Linked DNA regions of Kluyveromyces lactis. The protein of the gene in region 1 binds, or shares a complex with, the protein of each later gene. Links are inferred from orthologs where the notes say so. Each region holds a gene or a part of one and is shown in the gene's direction. Other genes may lie near its edges.

The links. Proteins that work in one complex are often made in the same cells at the same time.
Region 2: the proteins of SHE3 (region 1) and SHE2 are in contact, whole or in part, in a crystal structure (PDB 4WNL), measured with the Saccharomyces cerevisiae proteins. The link is inferred for Kluyveromyces lactis from reciprocal best matches to the Saccharomyces cerevisiae genes SHE3 and SHE2. Residues at the interface, in NP_009688.3 of Saccharomyces cerevisiae: Val363, Leu364, Pro365, Gly366, Val367, Lys368, Arg369; in NP_012792.1 of Saccharomyces cerevisiae: His150, Lys153, Trp157, Glu190, Thr191, Ile194, Gln197, Glu198, Ile199, Leu200, Leu211, Ala214, Trp215, Ile218.

What each region holds. Positions count from the first base shown.
Region 1 is NC_006040.1:759,006-762,887, forward strand, and holds SHE3 (She3p), read left to right. Parts: upstream 1-1,789; coding exon 1,790-2,827; downstream 2,828-3,882. Other genes in the region: RNA-binding signal recognition particle subunit SRP54, read left to right, coding at 1-1,405; OPY1 (Opy1p), read left to right, coding at 3,309-3,882. UniProt on the Saccharomyces cerevisiae protein: RNA-binding protein that binds specific mRNAs including the ASH1 mRNA, coding for a repressor of the HO endonuclease. Part of the mRNA localization machinery that restricts accumulation of certain proteins to the bud and in the daughter cell.
Region 2 is NC_006038.1:1,092,750-1,095,926, reverse strand, and holds SHE2 (She2p), read left to right. Parts: upstream 1-1,944; coding exon 1,945-2,670; downstream 2,671-3,177. Other genes in the region: HFD1 (hexadecenal dehydrogenase), read right to left, coding at 123-1,688; EUC1 (Euc1p), read right to left, coding at 2,769-3,177. UniProt on the Saccharomyces cerevisiae protein: RNA-binding protein that binds specific mRNAs including the ASH1 mRNA, coding for a repressor of the HO endonuclease. Part of the mRNA localization machinery that restricts accumulation of certain proteins to the bud and in the daughter cell.

The sequences.
Region 1 (3,882 bases):
CAATGCTAACGTTAATGCCAAATTTACAAACGCTCAAACGAAGAAACTAATCCAAAAGACTGTATTTGACGAACTTTGTAACTTGGTGGACTGTGAAGTGACCTCTCCATTTCAACCTAAGAAGAGACAGAGCAACGTTATCATGTTTGTTGGTTTACAAGGTTCTGGTAAGACCACTTCTTGTACAAAGCTAGCGGTGTATTACTCAAAACGTGGTTACAAAGTTGGTTTAGTTTGTGCTGATACTTTCCGTGCCGGTGCATTTGATCAGTTGAAACAAAATGCCATCAAGGCCAAGATTCCATTCTACGGCTCTTATACAGAACCTAATCCAGTCAAAGTTGCAAAAGATGGTGTGGACAAGTTCAAGAAGGAAAAGTTTGAAATTATAATCGTCGATACCTCTGGTAGACATCAACAGGAAGATTCTCTATTCCAAGAAATGGTTGAAATATCGCAAGCTGTCAAACCAAAACAGACAATTATGGTTCTTGATGCATCCATTGGTCAAGCCGCAGAACATCAATCTAAGGCTTTCAAAGAAAGTGCAGATTTCGGTTCCATTATTTTAACTAAGATGGATGGTCATGCAAGAGGTGGTGGTGCAATCTCAGCTGTAGCATCCACAAATACTCCAATTATCTTTATTGGTACTGGTGAACACATCCATGACTTTGAAAAGTTCTCTCCCAAGTCGTTTGTTTCTAAGCTTCTCGGAATTGGTGACATCGAATCTTTGATGGAACGTTTCCAAACAGTATCTGACCAAGATGATGCAAAGAATACTTTAGAGAATATCCAACAGGGTAAATTCACTCTACTTGATTTCAAGAACCAGATGCAAACAATAATGAAGATGGGTCCCCTATCAAACATCGCGAATATGATTCCTGGTATGGGGAATATGCTTAACCAATTCTCAGAAGAGGAAACTTCAAAGAAAATGAAGACAATGGTGTATATTTTTGATTCAATGACCAAGAAGGAACTTGAATCGGACGGTAGAATCTTCATCGATGAACCTAGTAGGTTGGTAAGAGTGGCAAAGGGTTCCGGAACAACGGTATTTGATATTGAAATGCTTTTAATGCAACAACAGATGATGGCAAGAATGGCGCAAACAACTAAACAAATGGGAGGACTCCCAACAAAAGGCGGAATGCCACCAAAGGCAGGTATGCCTTCTATCCCTGGTATGCCATCAATCCCTGGTATGCCAAATATCTCTCCACAAATGATGCAACAGGCTCAACAGCGTATGAGACAGAATCCTGGTATGATGAACAAGATGATGAGTATGATGAAAGGATCTGGAGGTGGTATGCCAAACATGCAAGATATCATGGGAATGATGCAAGATCCAAGTATGCAAGAAATGGCCAAGCAATTTTCTGGGGGAATGTAGAGCGTTTTCTTCAGAATGGGCTATTATAAAACGCAATCGGCAGATACTTGGATATTTGTACATCTTAGTTTAGTTACATACACTCTTATTTACCTTCTTCTTCGTTAATCTGTAAATTAGAAATCCACCTCTGTGATTATACCTTCAATAGAGCTAGCTTCATTATAAATGGGTGAATCGAGCCCAGTTTCTTCTTGTGCAGTCTCTCTCGAAGTACTATTCGTAGTAGATCATTAAAACGATCATTGTTTACATTTCAAGAAAAAAAAACGATATCGAACTGAAACAAATACGTTAATATTAAGACACACGCAACTTAGAATGACAGAAGCATTCAGTTAAAGTTCCAGAATCGTTGGAAGTAATATCTAGGACCGACTGTGGATGAAGATGACGGAAGCACAAGAGTTCTTGACTCCTACGAAAGGTGTGAATTCAAGCAAATTCAATATCAACCATGGCCATTTTATTACGAACCTAGAGAATCAGGAGAGTCCGTCCAAGCTAGGTGCATACACACCGGGAAAATACTCTACCAGTAGAGTAATAGAATCACTACACAAGCAGATAGACGAGCTGACGAGTACGAATCTTAAAATGACGTCTCAATGCCATCAATTAGTGAATGAATTGGAATCTTCTGGGAAGAAACAGAATAAACAATTGGAGACCATCTCGAGACTGCAGACAGAAAATATGAACCTAAATGCAATACTAGATAGGAAAACTAATAGAATGAATGAATTGGAGAGTTCTTTGAAGAAACAAACTGTGTTCAATGAAGATGCAGCCAAAAAAAATCTTGAGTTAGAAGAAACCGTTAAGAAACTATCACTCGAAAACGAAAAGCTTACGGAACAATCGACTCTGTATAAAATTCAATATGAAGCTATCGTCGATGCACACCAATCTTATAAACAGTTTTTCACGAACGAAACAAGCACTTTACGAAATGATCTAATGTCTTTGAAACAATCCATGACCAAACAGTTGGAATCTAAGACGAAGGAAGTATTGGCAATCGATGAAAAGATACAAAATAAACTAGAGTCACTAGACAGTGCTCAAGAATCCTTTAAAAAACATGCATCTGAGCAAATAGAAGATAATATCAAAGAACTAAGGCTTGATAGTTGGCAATCTTCGTTAAGAGAAGCGCAAGCTTTATTGAAAGAATACAAATCACAAGCACAAGCAGAAGGTATTACCATTCAAGAACAACCCAAAGCGTCTATCCCACAATTAAGAAATCCCAAGAGGAAAACTAGTGGTCAAAAGAGGACAAGTTTTTATGGAACTCCTACTGGCTTCTCAATACCATCAAACAAACAAACGCCTCCATCTAGCAGTTCAACTCAATTGCCTGGCCTCAAAAGAGCTTCATCAATCAGAATATCATCAGATCCGAACCGTAATAGATAGCAAGAGTAGTATTTCCCAATATTCTATTGTTGGCAAACATATATTGTCAATAAATTATCCTGGCGTTTCTAACTTATACATAAATCTAGCGATTCACAATTCATTATATAGAATTTATGATTTGAATAAAAACGTTACCTTTCTTGAATCCGATTTTCCAGAGAATACCAACACTATGTTCAAGTACTCATCCTAACCGAGCAGGTAGTAGTGAAGATCTACATACTTTCATCAGCGTTCATTTTTGTATTCAGGATATCGGTTTCTTGTGTTTCCTGCATGATCCATTTCCATATATTTTCGAAACAAAGGATTATTTGTATAAAGAAAGGAACTTGGCACGAATCCTAAACGATTAAACAAAAACGACAACAAATTACAATGACCACTGGCCGATCGTGCCGCCTGGAAATCATCATTTTTACAAGGAAAACGGCGAAATCAATATCATAGTACTAGACAGTTGTCTCTGCAAGAAGAAATGGGACAACAAACCTTCGAAGATAATGAAGAGATTATTTATTCGTCATATCTTGTAAAAAAACCCACCGTCTCGAAGTCTATTTCATCCACGAAACAATTGGCAAAGAACTGGACTAATTGGAGTGTCAAGAAGACGAAATACAATCACAAGTACTGGTGCGTCTTAAGGAAGACGCAATTCAGTTATTATAAGGATGAGTCTGAGAGGGTTGCCGAGAAAGTTATTCCGATACAAGATATTTTGGGATGCAGAGCGTACGGGGATAACAAGCTTGATATCTTCACGAAGGGGATGACTTTACGATTCAAATCTCCAGATGCAGATGTAATCCGTAGTTGGGTACAGTCCATCAACGAGTTATTACCACACTTGAACAATTATGGCTCTGAATCTGACCTTGAGATTGCAGAATCCGATGACGAACAAATTGAAGGGGAACAAGCTGATGAACATGGGATACAGAAAACAACTCAAGTCGTTAAAGAAAATAAAGATACCAATTCCACTTCTGATATAAAATCTATTAATAACGGAGTTGTCGAAGAAGACAAGAAGTTTTTCGAGTTTTATG
Region 2 (3,177 bases), on another chromosome or scaffold:
TGATTGAAAGAAAACAAGTAACAGATCATAAGTACTACATATTTTGTAAATATAAAATAGAAATCATAGTTATGAAAAACTGGGTCATAATACGAAAGAAAACACCGGATCATAGAACTCCATCACATCATGGCATTGATTAAGAATCCCAATAATACACCAGACGTTAAGATGATGCCAATATTCTTAATGCCATAAATTCTGCGGCCATTTCTGTCAAAGTTTGGTTTATCCTCTAAAGATATCTGAGAAATCCTCGTATTGAGTTTATCAAACGGAGGATATCTAACATATATCAAGAGGTCCACCCAAAATGGTTGTTTGAATATAGTTCTTTCATGAGTGAACGTCTTGAAGGTATAAGGGCCATGATAATTACCGTAACCCGAGGTTCCTATACCACCGAAAGGAGCCTCTTCGATACCAACGTGAAGCAATGTGTCGTTAACAACACAAGCACCAGATCTAATTCTTGTCAAGATGTGATCAATTTCATCCTTTGAATTAGTAAAAATATATTGGACAAGAGGTGTGTCGAATCTTTTAATGAGAGTATCGATGGTTTCATCCAAATCAGTATATCTCATGATAGGTAAGATGGGTCCAAAATTCTCACCGGTCATACTTGGATCATCCCAAGAAACGTCTGAGATTATGGTGGGTGGGATACATAACGGTGGGAGATTGTCTGAATGTTGAGCAACAGTTTTTTGACCCTTAGTGGTCTCAATGACGGTTTGAATCCTATTGTAGGCTCTTTCGTGAATCATGTGAGTATATTCAGTGTCAGAGGTGACAGAAGGGTAAAACTCATTCAATACTTTCTTGCAAGAATCAACAAACTCATCGTAGATCGAGTCAGGGCATAGGACATAATCTGCGGCGACACAAATCTGACCTGCGTTCCCCATAGAACTGTAATAAATTCTTCTTATTGCAGTCTCCCATTGTGATTTAGGCAAGTTGGGGGATATAAACACTGGAGACTTCCCACCAAGTTCTAATACACATGGTGTTAGACTCTTAGCAGCCTTCTCTGCTATGATTGTCCCAACGGTCGTAGATCCAGTGTAAAATATCTTATCGAATTTACCGGATTCGACTAAAGCACTTGTTTCTTCAGCGCCACCTTGCACCGTCTCCACTTGACCCTTTTCAAACGCCTCATTACATATCTCTTCCATTACTTCAGCACATGCTGGTGTCAATTCACTAGGTTTGAACACCACGGAATTACCACCGGCGATGGCTCCAGCTAATGGATCCAATGCCAATAATATGGGGAAATTAAACGGAGAAATGACAAGAACGGTCCCCAATGCGATCTTTTCCACGAAAGTCGTACCGAACCAATGTGCAAGTAAACTAACCTTAATCTTCTTTGGTTCGATCTCTTTCTTCATGTTTTTAATCAAATAAAGGATATTGTTGTACAAGGGGACTAATTCAATAGTAAGCGTTTCACTTCTTGCCCTATGGAAATCCTTACTTGCTGCTGCAATAAGACGTTCCTCATTATCCTTCACTGCCCAGTAAAGCTTCTGCAAACTCCTGATCCTCTCATTGATATCAGTAGCCCTAGGGGACTTGCTTTGGGCTAACCTGGCTTGTCGAGACCTGTAAAACTGCTTAGCAAGCTCAATCTTGCCAGGAATCGACTTCAAATCTGTAAATTTAAACTTGGACATGTTGCACTGGTTGTTTGTCTCAACTGATGTAACAACTACCAACTTCAAAGTAAACTAAACTCTTAACTGACATTTGTGTATTGTGTTTCGGTATTTAAAGGTTTACTTCTCCAATATTCTTAGGTTCTTTAAATATTAAGGCTTTTCGGTTTTAATGTTATCCGGTGAAGACCAGCGATGGGCATGAAGAAAAAGCATTTAAAAACCGTTTAAAGGGCCCACTAACTGCTCAATTGGTTTAGTTTGACAAGTTATCATGGCTTACTGTCAAGTGGTTATCTCGAAAGAGATTCTGGATGCTGTGTTACAATTGGTTTCCACATATTCAAATTATATATCAAGATATGTGGACTATTTGAACAACCTTATCGCAGTCCAGCGTCGTGTGAGCACGCTACGTTTCGAAAGGATGACATTGATCAAGTACGTTAAGAAACTACGGTTCATGGCTGATGTTTTACACAGCTGGTCGTTTGAAGGTGAGAATGATCTTATTGGAAAACGGTTAAACGAAGTGATCGATCCATTGGGAGCATATTTAATCAAAGTGTTTGAAATATTAGACCTGTTGAACTTCTACATTACACAGCCGATGAGAGGCGAAACGATCTCTAAGACTTTGAATGAGGATTTGGTCGTTAGTGAGGAGACCATTGTTTGTATCAATGACAGCTACAGGATATATATCAAGGGAATTCAATGGTTAGTAGAATCGATCAGTGAAAGGAATGGCAACTGTCCTCACCTGGCACTAGAGTTGATTGAATTCACTAGAAAATGTGCCATTGAAGATGAGGTGGATTTCACTGCTAGCGAAGATATCTTACTGCAAGACGTTGCCATTGTGGAAGTAGAGGAAGAATACGTTGACCTGTTGCATGATTGGTCTGCGATCCTGGTGCAGAAACAAACAGAAATGAAGGAGTTGTTCTCAGAGGACTCAAAGAGATGGGCTTCAATGACTAAACCGGTCAAGAAGTAGGTGAGGGTATCCTACACGTTCGCACATATTTGTATATATATATATATAGAATATAGAATATCAAATTAAAAAGTTACATACAGTTCGTCATACAGGTCTCATGTCATGATGGAATGTTCTTCTGCCAACTGGGATGGAGTCTTCTTCTTCTGCCTGCTTTTGATTTCTCGAATACTTGGAGCGTCTTTGTTCTTCAATGATAACGAATAATCGTCATATGAATCCATATACTTAGAGAAATAGAGGTAAAGTTGTGCTAAGGTCATACAGCAGGGCGATCCGTTGTTATATCTGTTGTTACCCACGCGTAAGTTTTCAATAACGCGTACAGCTTTCCTTCTGGTGATGTCAAGCGGGAGGTTAAACCTCGAAGGTTCACGAAGAATCGTTTCTATCCTTTGTATTATTACGTACCTCTTATGGAAGAACGTTCTTTCACCTGCACTGCTTCTCCAAGTAGATCCGAACCTTCTTTCAAGAGCCATCACGGATGGCTGACCCGGTAAT